Linked DNA regions of Nothobranchius furzeri. The protein of the gene in region 2 interacts with the protein of the main gene of each other region in a biochemical or structural test. Links are inferred from orthologs where the notes say so. Each region holds a gene or a part of one and is shown on either strand. Other genes may lie near its edges.

Region 1 (6,350 bases), about 22 Mb from region 2:
CCACTCACCTCTGATTGGCCACGGGCATGTCAGAGGGGGTTGTCCGAGCCAATCAGAGGACAGTGCCCCTTGTGTCCAGCTGATGCTAACAAAGTCCCTTTTCTGAGCGTCAATCACCTGAACGACAGAGCCAACAAACGTTAAACACCTCCACCCTCACCAGACTACACGGCCGAGCACCTGCACACACGTGTGCCACAGGTGAGCAGGTGCTCGGCCGCGACTTCATACAACAGGTCAGAAAGAAGCAGCGGCGTCCTGATGTCACCATGGAAACCAGAGGTACAACGAGGGATCGATTATAGGATAGCACACGACGTCATCGGGAAGCAATTCCTCCAGATTCTGATTTTATCACCAAATTAAAACACAAAGTTTTTTTTTCAGGGATTAAATCTACAGAAAATAAAAAATTAACTAAGAGGAAAACAGGCTGAACAGCTTCAGGTTGGAGAAATACAGATTCTTTTTGACTAGATTGATAAGCTAACTGCTAGTCCCAGCAGGTGCTCAGCGCTGTTGTCTTAAGGCTCAAACATATCAGTAATACGGCAACTACCCCCCCCCCCACACACACACACACACACACACAGGAAGTGCTACAGCTAGCTGCTCTTAAAGCAAAGATGCTAACAGTGGCCAACGCTGTAAAGCTGTTTAGATTAAACTTGTTTAAATGCAGCAGAAACACCTGGTTCTCTGCCTTGCCTAACTAGCCGTTAGCTCATCAATCCAGCCACAAATAATCTGTTTCTCCAAACTGATGCTGCTCCCAGACGTGAGATATTGGTTGTTTGTTTGTTTTTTTCAACAGAAAAATCGGAACCGTCCCTTTAAAGAGCAAGTCACTCCAAATCAACTTTTTTTGCTCATAAACTAAATAAACGAGTGTCTGGTCGTGCTGTAGACATGTGCAGTCGACACTTTAGTGCATCTTAGCTCAAGTTTAAATATTCTGCCTAAAACGGTCAGCGTTGCACCGTCATCAGGTAAAAACTCTGCACTGCATTGAATTTAAATCTGCCATCGCTATTGGCTAAGAGGTACTCTATGATGTTAGATGGTACATTATGATGTCACAATGTTGTGTGTGTATTTGTTAGCGGCTCCGCCCTCTCGCTATGCTATGCTACAGCCTTTGTTGCATTTTTCAAACAGGAAGTGGGAGTGGAGTAAGAATCTGGTAGGGGGTGACTTGCTCTTTAAGCTCAGAGAATAAAAGTAATTACGTCTCCTTAGAATAAAATTCTGAAAATGTTTTTGTTTAAGAACCAGTTCCAATAAAGTTTAAAGGGTTGGTGGGAACCGTATTTATGTCGATGAGGAAACACGAGTTCTGCTAAAGGTGGCCCGACTCACCATTGACTGCTAATACAGCTTCTGTTAGAATAAAAACAAAATCACGGATGGTGACGGTCTGAAGTTTTAACTGAACATGATCCAGATCAGAACCAGCGGTACCAACAGAACCAGGAAGTTTGAACTCTGGGATGTTGATGAAGAAGCAGGTGAATGCCAGTAAGTTTGTTCCGTCTTTGCTGCACATTTATCTCCGTTAATAATTAAAAACACAATAAACATTGATCGTTTAACACAACAGTTCTCCTTGTTTGGGTCGGGCCTGCGCTGCGGGTCATGAAACCTACAAACTGTAAAAAATAATAAATAAATAAATCTGATTAAGGAGCTTCAACTTTTCCTCAAATTTCAACGTTTTCTGTAAAATATTTATTAAAAACGTTAATTATGAAAATTACTATATTAATGTTTTTGTGTCTAAATCAGTAAATATTTGGGTCTGAGGGGGTTTTATTGTAGGTCGGTCATTTGTGAACCCCGCAGATTAAGCCAGGATTTTGCTGTAAAGCATCCAGATTTACTTTTATGTTTAGAAAACACAAAAACAGTTCTTAAAGAGCAAGTCACCCCCTACCAGAGCCTAACTCCACTCCCACTTCCTGTTTGAAAAATGCAACACATGCTGTTGCCTGGCAGACCGAGAGGGCGGAGCCGCTAACAAACACACACACACAGACTCACGACAGCATTGTGACATCATAATGTACTAGTTTACATCATAGCATACCTCTTAGCCAATAGCAGTGGCAGATTTAAATTCAAATACAGGGCAGAGTTTTTACCTGACAACGGCACAACACTGCCAGTTTTAGGCAGAATATTTAAATTTTAACTAAGATGCACTGAAGTGCCAAACTATTGACGACACGTGTCTGCAGCACGATTAGACACTCGTTTATTTAGTTTATCGGCAAAAAACAGTAGATTTGGGGGTGACTTGCTCTTTAAGGTTGAATAAAAAAGGCTGAAACCCCAGACTAAAGCCACCAGGAAGGAGATTATTTGTGTGGAATTGAGACGGAGAGCAGCGTCGTACCTTTTGGAGCCCGGGCCAGCGATCACAGGCTGTGACGTCTGAGCGCTAAGGGGCCGCTCGCATTTCCTGTGTTTATGTTTCCCCGGTTCTAACAGAACACACAGAACAGCAGCATCAGGGTCAGATCAGCTGATCCACACAGAAACAACAACAAACCCTGCAGGTATTTAAAACTGTCAAACAACAGGATCTCATTAAGCATGAACATTTAAAAGCAGTTTGAGAAATTAAAGTGATTTTTAACGTTTGTTGGGTCTGGGAACTCGTTTCAGTCGTGATTATAAATGTTTCAGTTCTTCTGACTTTAAACTCATAACCAAGTCACAATAATGAGTTTTAAATGCCTGACTGTTCTCTATAAGAGCAGCACTGATGCAGCTTGCAGAACCGATACCAGTTTAGGGTTTTTCTGCGCAGCTCTGACCTGATAAGACTGATTTATTAAGATTTGTGTGAAACAAAAATCTGCAAAAATGAAATATTGTTAAAAACTGAAAACCTGATAGATAATTCAAGAAGGGAGGACCATGGACCGTTCACAAAGTGAGCTCAGATTAATTAGCATGTAGCAGTGGTGCGTTCAAGGACCCAATTTAAGAAAGGAAGAAAATTAGATTTTTTGTGTCAGGTGGACTGTTGTGGTCACGTGTTTCCAGGTCTGCGCATCTGAACCATCTGAAAATATGATAATAACAATATTTATGTAAACACGCTGCTGCTCTTAGTTCCTCCAAAGCGTCTGAGCAGAAAACTTCTCCATGATTTATAGTTTTGGGTTAACTTCAATTTATTCCTCTGATGATAAATAATGTGCGGAATAATACTGGTCTCCAGGTGAAAGCCTGTCTGAGGTGCGAGGAGACGGACAGGTGAGTTAAACGTGTCAGGAACTGCTGTAGTTAGAGCCTGAGAGCCAGATTCATCACGGCTGTCCCCAGACCAGCAGCAGGCTCGGATGTGTGTCTGAGACTGGAGCTGAAGGCTAACACACCTGAGCAGGTGTGTTTATCCTCTTTGGTGTACCTCCACCACAGGGGAGGAGGTTTTTAACTCGAGCTCCAAACAAAGGCTCCACTCAGCGGCTCTGACTCTGCTCTCACATCCGGCTAAAGCCGGAGGCTTTATTCTGCCTCTGGGGTGGAAGCGTTGACGTTAAACGTGTTAATTACGTCTCTGTGGTTAAATTAGCTGCAAGCAGGCTGCGGTGACCGGGGAACAGCTTTAGCTTAGCGGCTAAATCCAACCGTCTCACCTCGGCGGTGCGAATCCCCACAACCCCTCTTCGTCCAGGCAGCTCTGGCTCCGTCAGACATGAAGTTACGGGTTCGATTCCGCGGTCAAGAGAGCGGACGGCAGCGCCGCATGGCCATACTTTCTCTGTAATCCATCAGCCAGACGGAGATACCCCCCACACGGCTCCAAATTAGACGGGTGCCGAGCCGCAGCGGTCCACAGGATTTACAGACACCATCTTCTGCACCGACGTAATTTCCCTTCATGACGGAACTGAAGGGCGGCGGGAGAGCGGACAGTCAAAGAGTGTACATGAGACAAGATGGATCACTGCAGTCTAAAAAACAACAGCAAACAATACAACTGTACTGAGTTGTTTGTTTTGTTGTGCACGTCTTACTTTTTAGATGATATAAATATATCAATATAACGGATCGCATTTTATTACACATTTAAAATAAGCTAATTGATACAAGAGGTATTTCACCACATAGATATCATATATTAATATATGATATGTATGTTTCACCACATGTAGGTTCATCAGAGACCTGGAGTTAAGTTTATACACAAATGTAAATAAAATTATTTAGAATCAATATATGCCCATTCAGACTGCAGGTGTAGACAGCTAATTAAAAATGTCACATTTAGATTTAGATGTCCACATAAATATTTTTACATAGGTTTTCAAAAACTACAAACTTGTTAAGAAGACTACAAACAGTATTTGATGATGTCATATTTTAACGACGGCCTGGCACTAATTATTTATCTAGGCTTATTTTTAAATTGACGTTAATTAAACCAAGTTTTGTGTTCAGTAGCAAAAAAATCTAAACTATTTATTTATTGGTTATAACGAGTAATGATATAATAAATTGTTCTTTTACGAACGTGATAAATTGCATCAGCATTTGAGAAAGGACCCGTTTTTCTTTCAGTCAGAGAAATCATACGAGATATTTTTAAATATATATGTATATAAATGAAAGTGGACATAATTTACACGTTTTTTGTTAAAGTTACAGTTTTTGTTTGATTTTGATCAGAGTAAAACGTTTTTTGTTTTTTCAAAGAAACGGTTTGGTAAATTGATCAGGCATTCGGCGGGGCTGCCTCTTTCATTCCCTTTCCAGCGAAGATGGCGGGTGATGAGTCTGGAACAACGCTGGGTCAGCCTCATCTGGCCAAACAAGACCTCAGCTCTCTGGTGAGTCTCGTTTCAGCGGTTTCTACACACCCCTGAGTTCACGTTTCAGGCTGGCAGCCCGTCGTTTAACCGAAAGCAATCCGTTAACGGGGGGAAATTGTGCGGTGAGCGGTGGCCGGGGCTGCGCTGCCTTCACCCGGCACATGACGGCAGGCCCGGCGGGGTGGAGAGTTCCTAAAGCACGAGCGGAGCCTCCAGGTTCTTTAAAGCGATTTAGGCGTTCACGTGTTTCTAAATTGTCGCTATTTTGTGTTTGCGACTGTTAAGCTCAAAAATTAGCTTCAATATTAACTGTCAGGAAGTAATTTTGGTGACGTATTTCTGGGTGATGTTATTGTGACACTTCAGTGATGAAGGCGGTGTCATAAACCTTTAATAACAGGGTTATTATGGTGGGGATGGGATTAAAGATCATATCTATAAGGTAGAAGTTAGGTAACGACTTCCTGTTCCGGTCCAGAAGAAGACAAATAAAAACGTTATTAATCTAAAACTGTTTAAACCTTTAGATGTTACAGGAATCCACCATGCATTTCCAGATGTGACTGCAATAAACTCATGATAACACATTCCTGTTATTTCTGCTGCATCTTGTTCCAAACTCTAGTTTCATCCATCAGTCTTTCAGGAATAATCTCTAACATCCTTAATTAATTATTAGTTTTTTCTTTGGAGGTTTTATTCTGCTGAGGAAGCAGGAAGCTGCTCGTCCTTTCTGATGGTCTAACGCGTGGTCCTGGTCAGACCTGGAGCTCATTTTCTCTGATTACGGACCTTGTCCCAGGCTGCTGTGATGGGTTAGGGTTAGGCTCGTCTTTGTTCCTGATAATCTGCAGGATTAACCCCAGAGACGCCGCTTGGCTCAGTTAATCTGTGTTATTTTGTACGTTTTGTCAGATCTGGGTGTTTTCTTTCGGCAGGACGTGTCCACCCTGACGCCTCTCTCTCCAGAGATCATCAGCAGACAGGCCACCATCAACATCGGTACGAGGCCGGTGTGCCTTCTGTTGTTTTTGTTTCTCTGCGGGTTTAAAGCGGTTCTGACTCGGTTCTGACTCTGTTCTGACTCTCAGGCACCATCGGTCATGTGGCCCATGGGAAGTCCACAGTAGTGAAGGCTATTTCTGGCGTTCATACCGTCAGGTTCAAGAACGAGCTGGAGAGGAACATCACCATCAAGCTAGGATATGCTAACGCTAAGGTGAGCGGTTCCTGTGCAGCGAGGATGGATCCGGGAGAATCCTCTGGGAAAAGCTCTCAGGGGGCGTTCTGGGTCTTTATTTCCTCATTAACGGCATTATTGAATAAAGGAGAGTTAAATCTGCTTTATTTTGAAATCCTGAGAGCTGATGATTCATCTTCCTGTAGACGGTTCTGTTGGAACCTTGTCATTCTGATTGTTTCCTGTGGCTGCAGATCTACAAGCTGGACGACCCCAGCTGCCCCCGGCCCGAGTGCTACAGGTCGTGTGGCAGCAGCACTCCTGACGAGTTCTCCACGGACCTCTCC
Region 2 (6,503 bases):
ATCCTGCAGAGGCGTTTTTTTCTTCCCATCGGTTTCTGACTTAGATTTACTCGGCGGCTTCTTGAAATCAGAACTGAAACCAGGAGCTCTAGCTTTCTGACTGGTCCCAATGTGTTCTGCTGACTGGCCCTGGAAAATAAAACACTTATAAAAACCTGCTTTAAATCATGGCTTAACAGATGAGCTCCCTGTTTGGTCATGCCTTATTAACTGGTGGCTCACAAACAGAAGTCGCTGTTTGGTTGACGTCTCTGGGATGCTCATGTTTGCCCCCTCCCTGGATTCCTGCTTCGCAGAGTCTCTGTGAAACACTTTCGTCCTTTTTGTGTTTTGAGCTGCAGACCGAGCCTTCTTCTAAAAAGCGTTTGACAGGAGGGAGGACAGACAGGGACCTCTCCGTGGTGGAGTCTGGACTGTGGGTCAGTGTGGACACAGAGGAGCGCTCGTAGGGCCTTAAACAGGAGAAACAAACCAGCAGGGAGGAGTTTTTTAGCGCATAGTCAGATAAATGCAGGCCGGCTGCAGTTGGTCTTACTTTAAATGAGCATTGTGCTTCCAGGAACTTCTAGAGGCACGTTGATGATCTGGAGCCGTCTCCTTTACCTGGGAGCAAAATGTTTTAAACATAAAAATGTCATTATTGTACGATTATGTATCAGTGATTGGTTCCTAAACTATTTTACTTACAATGAGATTGTTAGCAAGTTCAAAGCCACAGGTATCTGGGATAGCTTCCAGCACACCTTCATTCACATCATCTGGAAAGAGACAGACACCAGACAGGTCAACTTCTGTCTGATAATAGAACTAAACCAGGAGAAGTGGACATAAATAGATTGTTTCTGATCTAAAGGAATATAAATAAAGTTATATTAAATGTAAAAAAAAAAAAAAGATTATTCTTGTTTTGATTAACTTGTATTAGAAAAGACATCTTACTGGATGTCTGGGGTGCATCCAGTTCACAAGTGTTGGGCACCAGCACTTCTGTTTTCCTGGGATTCCTTCCATCTCTAGCAGCTTTTTTGTTTTGCTCTTAAAAATAAAAACCAAACCGTTCACAACAGCGGAAATACACAGAGGAAGGTGAGGTGAGGTTTAAAATAAGCAGCAGGTGATAAAAGGTGTTTTTAAATAACTGACCGTAGAAGAGCAAGTTGTCGCGCTGCCGCGGAGACATCTCTGCATATCGGAAGTGTTTCACTTTATCACCATGTTTCCGTTTCTTCAGCTTGTTTGGGACAGGAAGTGAGCTTGGCAGGACTGGTGAGTCTGGGATGAATCCTTCCTCCTGCTCCGGGCTTCCTACCTCTGAAGTAGGGCTGCTTGATTAGGAAAATAATCATCATCACAATTATTTTGGTGGAATCTGAAATCGTTACCGACTGAGTTGGGAAACACTAAAGTGCAGCAGCTTACTGGTCATTCAAACTGATGAAGGGATAAATTATGAGACAAAAAACATTTCCTCTGAACTGCTTTAATGCTCATCACCACAGCCTTACGTCTGCTCTAGAATAAAACCCACGGACACACCAGCTAATTAAACTTAATCTACCTGAACAATCAGCCACATAAAAAAACAGGCAGCACTAGTATAAACAAGCCTGGAGGCCCAAACAAGGAGTATGTGAATATAAAATGGAACAGCCGAGCCTGGAATAGAACCGTGTAGAAAAACATAACCTCTCACCAGAGAGGCATACGCGAGGCTTATGAAGACTCATGTGCTGCAGGTGTGTTTTGCCCTCATTCTGCCATCTTATGTTGCTCTAACCTTTTAAGACCTTTGAGTAAAATGTGACAAAACAATTTTAATAGTGTTATGTTTTTATTACATTATTTTTGTAATTGGAGTTAACTAAAATACAAACTGAATTATTTATATACTTGTTTGCTCTCCACACCCTCTACAGAGCTAAACCAGGAACTGAAACGTCACTGCTGATGCAGAACAAGTCTCTGAGGCAAAGCTCCTCAGTGGAACACGGCACTTATTATAGTCAGCTTTCAAATTTAGAAGAGTTCATTTTTGTAAACCAGAAGTGAAACCTCTCCAGGAGAAACAGTGTCTATCTGAAAAGTTTTACGCAACACTGGCTGCAAAAAAAAAAAAAAGAAACTAAAATGTTAACATTTGTAATAATTTTGAAACAACAACAACCCAAAAATCTAATCAGACTTTTAAGAAGAACTTACTGAGCTGATTTTAACTGTTGCAGTTCATTCAACAGCTTTCTGTTTTCTTCCTCCAGTCTGTTTCTCTCATTTTCTGAAGGAAGACAAACCGTAAACACAATTCTCACAAAGCATGATTGTGCCCAAAAACATCTTAGCTTGTGCTGCCCTGGTCTGTGTGAAACACTCACATAAAAACAACTCTTTACTCTTTAACACCAAATAATCTAGAGCTCAGATTAATCACCGGAACAAACTCACTTAGTTTTGTGACAATATGAAGGTTCTGCTCCTGGTTGGATTTCAGCTTCTCCTCAAAAACAGCACACTGATCACGCTCTGCTGCTCGGAGTCTGGGGACAGTAAACGCCAAAACACTAATGATACACACACAGTTACTTATAATAAAGTACACAAAGATGCATGATTATAACTGGACGCTATAACAGAAGATTACAAATCAGCAGGTTCTGGGATTTTCTAGGGAATGTTCAAATATGTTTATGTTTATTTATTTAGCAGACGCTTTTATCCAAAGCGACTTACAATTTATAACCTACAGGGCATGTTGTGATCTGTGGGGGAAACTGGAGTACGCGGAGGAAACCCACGCATGCATGGGGAGAACACGCAACTCCACGCAGAAAGGCCGCAGCCGAGTTTCGAACCTGCGACCTTCGTGCTGCGAGGCAACAGTGCTAACCACTGCGCCGCCATGCAGCCCATAGTCCAATAGCTGATGGGAAGAAACTGATCTTGTGCCATGAGGTAATGGTTCTGGTGGACTGTTGTCTGTGATTACAGGGCAGCACATGAAAAGGTTATTTTCAGGGTATGAGGAGTCAAGGTGAATCTCTAGTGTGCCTCAAGTCCCTGGAGACCCACAGATCCTGGAGAGAGGCCAGATTGAAGCTGGTAATCTCTACAATACCTCTGCCACACATTTCTGGAAAATTCTTATTTTTCTAGTTTGCTTGGTTTGTAAATGATTCACTTGAGACAAATCCATACCAGTCCCAAGTACAATTAATGTTGTCAACATGATGATGATGACCCAAGTGTGTGTTTGAGTCATTTACCTTTCCTCCAGAAGACCGATCGTGTCCTGCAGAGTTTTATTTTGCTCCTTAAGCTGTTGGTTGCGATTATAGAACACCTCCAGCTTCTGTGCATCTCTGTATAATTAAAACAACTTAATGAAACAAAACAATAAAGTGAGGGAAAGCGTGCCCTACTAGTGAACAAAAGCTGATACTCACAAGCAGCGGTCCTTTTTTAACTTGCTTACTTTTGCCTCCAGTTCTACAAACAGTCACAATCACAAATAGTGTTGGCATGTGCGAAAACCACTAAAACACGCATCAACACGATTAGATTAGTTCAGTTACCTTGAACTGTGCTTTGATGACACTCTCCAAGCTGTTTCCATAGAACTTCAAACAGATCAGCATGTCTGACTGTCCCACTGCTGTCTCCCGGACTGCTCATCCTCCATAGATGATAACAGGCTAGACCGGAAATATCTTCATTAGAGGTGGAATTTACAACATTCAACAGCTGATAAGCTACAACACACAACATATAACTAGTTATTCACACTAAAACACAAACAACGTCCTGTGGCATCACACAGCTGTTACGTTGTCGCTAAAACTAAACAATGTTACGTAAACATACGTAACGCACAAAGAACACAAATACGTACACTAAATGCTTCAAAGAAAGTCTTAAAAGCAGACAAACTGATACATTTGAAAACCTACATAGTAATGCTGTTGTCGAAGATCAAAATTTGCGCGCCGAAATGCATGATGGGAATCCTTCTTCTTTTGACGTCATTCTCGTGTATGTGCGACTCTGTCGCCCCCTGCTGTTCAAGCCGAGTAAATGTACCCATTAAACGTGGAGGTACCAAGCCCCCACAATATTAATGTCGATGGGAGGTACTTATGCAATTTGCTGTAACATAAAACAGGTGGTTTTTTTATTCTTATTTCTGCTTTTATTTTTTAGAGTACAAAACATAACCCAAAATCACAAAATAACATTTACAAAACAGATTATTTAATTGAGGTGACTGAGGCAACATAGAGAAGCATGTCTGAAACAGTGATATTGGTGGGTTAGCTTTGAGGTAAGACAGCGAGCGATGTCAAAGGTTAAGAGACTTTAATTGTATTGACTTAGTGCCTTCATTAAGTAGTGCTATTCACAATTGAGTTTAATCATTCCAGTTCCTAATATATCAACATTTAGCAGTGATTTAATGATGTAGTGTATCAGATACACAAATACAAACTGACTAGTGACATCACGGTCTAAGACGCTAAGCATGTAGCACTGTATGGCACCATTTTGATGGTTTCTATCTTAAGACATTTCCTAATACATAAACAACACTGTTGTTGCTCATTCATTCTCATTAAAGCAGGTGCAAACAAATTTAAATATCGTTTTCTGCTTGTTACCATAACACTTCTGGCCAAAAATAAAACAATGGTTCCAACATTTATCTCAACCAAACTGAAGCTGCTTCGGACTATCAGGAGAAACAACTAAAAAACAAAAACACTCTTAATAATGCGACCAGAAATTAAACAGACTGATTTAAACTAAAACGCAGAATGGTTGTTGGTCGGAGACGCGAGCATAAAGCTCCGTCTTTTTCCTGAAATATAAAAAAGGTAAGACACAATGCAAACACTGCATCACTTAAAAAACAATAACAGTTATCTAAATGCAAAGCAAGGGAAAAGTTGAGTTTGACCTGCTCTTCGACATGCAGGTTTATTTTTGCATGAACAAACTTTTCTTCTTTCACATTGATGTCATGGTCACTGATGATTCAGCATTATAGATTATTACTCTTTTGTTCCTTTGGACGTGCGCCTTTTGTTGACTTTGCATCTGTCACAGCAGGTAGATCAAGCTAGCGTTAGTGCGAGTGTGTGTGTTTACATAAACACACATGCAGTCATCATCATTTACATATTTCCCCAGAATAACATAACAAATGACATTTCAAAACTATAAAACTAAAACAAAACTCCCTTTACATTTCAGAGTTTAAGCTATAAAACCTGCATGACAGTCCACAGAAGGTGTGCCTGGAGGCTTTGCAGCTGGGATGTGAGATACGCAGCAGGCTGTAGAGGTGCTGATGCTGGCAGGGAGGAGGAGGAGGAAGAGGAGGGGTGAAGATGGCGCCGAATGCAGCCGTACGTCGTTAAAGGAGGTTATGGGGATGGGCTGATTCTTCACCCTCTCCCTGTCCAAATGGGCCACATTCTATGTAGTTGAGTTTTAGATTCACATTATGCTGGAAGAAGACTAAACTGGTAGCATACGCTGCCTGGGCAGGTCGTCACCAAGAACACTGGAGCAGAGTGTAAATGCATATCTACCTTCAGACCTGCAGGGACAAAAGGGGATCAATGGAAGGATTCCATCTAAATGTTAAAAATCTAAATGATCCACACTCACACTTAGTGTCTTCACCACTGTGGGGGCACGTAGCTGTAGCTGGGGGTGCCGGGGGCCCGATATGTGGGCATCGTGACTTGATGCGGGGCCACAGGTGCCGGTGAGGGACTTGTCAACAAAGTTCCTGTGAGGCAGATTTGATAGTTTCGAGTTAAATTCTAACTTATTAGTTCTGAATATGCAGAAGTAAAAAGTCGCTGCAGCTCACCAGCGGACATAGCCATGGTTGTGCCGGCGACCATCCCCATGGCGACGCCGTTGGCGCGGCCAGGAGCGATGGACGGGGCGTACATGGCTGCAGGCATTCCATTGGGCTGGACCACCGTCGTGTGGTGGATGACATGAGGTGGTGCAGCGTACAGCGGCTGCGTGTAATAGGTGCCTTGTTGTTGGGAAGGTATTAACGCCTGAATCAGACAAACATGGTGACTCGTTTAGCTAAAATCGCTAACGACACATGTTGAAAAATAAAGGCATCATAGGTGATAGATGATTTTTTTTTGTTACATTGAGATCAGTGGTTCAGGAGATGTTTTGCAAACACACACAAACAGACAGAGGCAAAAATATTCTAGTCTACTTTTCACATGAATACCAAAGTCCGCACGAACTCACTGACCTGTGCATAAGGGCTCTGTTGGGGGTAGGTGCTCCTGACAGGGTAGACAGCAGCAGGATAGGGGCTTGGTGAGGAAGAGTATGGTGGCACAGTCCCAGTGTTGGGAGAGCAGGACATTTTAAAAGGAGTTCCAGGAGCGTAGCCTGAAATGAGCCAGCACCTCTTGTAATAATTTATAGCAGCAAGACAAGTTAGTTTCTCAACGGAGCAATGGTGATGTAAC

The links.
Region 1: the proteins of rbbp8 (region 2) and klhl15 form a complex in vitro, tested with the Homo sapiens proteins (2 studies listed by BioGRID, with this or other methods). The link is inferred for Nothobranchius furzeri from reciprocal best matches to the Homo sapiens genes RBBP8 and KLHL15.

Annotation. Positions count from the first base shown.
Region 1 is NC_091747.1:63,364,702-63,371,051, forward strand, and holds the start of klhl15 (kelch-like protein 15), read right to left. Parts: upstream 3,937-6,350; 5' UTR 3,709-3,936; coding exon 3,648-3,708; intron 2,484-3,647; coding exon 2,396-2,483; intron 118-2,395; exon of another isoform or gene 29-117; coding exon of another isoform or gene 9-28; intron 1-8. Other genes in the region: eif2s3 (eukaryotic translation initiation factor 2 subunit 3), read left to right, coding at 4,773-4,841, 5,762-5,825, 5,915-6,042, 6,258-6,350. UniProt on the Homo sapiens protein: Substrate-specific adapter for CUL3 E3 ubiquitin-protein ligase complex.
Region 2 is NC_091747.1:41,225,879-41,232,381, forward strand, and holds the start of rbbp8 (DNA endonuclease RBBP8), read right to left. Parts: upstream 4,033-6,503; 5' UTR 3,942-4,032; exon of another isoform or gene 3,884-3,941; intron 3,687-3,883; 5' UTR 3,667-3,686; coding exon 3,567-3,666; intron 3,481-3,566; coding exon 3,438-3,480; intron 3,354-3,437; coding exon 3,258-3,353; intron 2,532-3,257; coding exon 2,440-2,531; intron 2,273-2,439; coding exon 2,200-2,272; intron 1,326-2,199; coding exon 1,144-1,325; intron 1,036-1,143; coding exon 940-1,035; intron 759-939; coding exon 688-758; intron 604-687; coding exon 536-603; intron 453-535; coding exon 203-452; intron 130-202; coding exon 1-129. Other genes in the region: fam168b (myelin-associated neurite-outgrowth inhibitor), read right to left, coding at 5,673-5,785, 5,870-6,068, 6,281-6,423. UniProt on the Homo sapiens protein: Endonuclease that cooperates with the MRE11-RAD50-NBN (MRN) complex in DNA-end resection, the first step of double-strand break (DSB) repair through the homologous recombination (HR) pathway.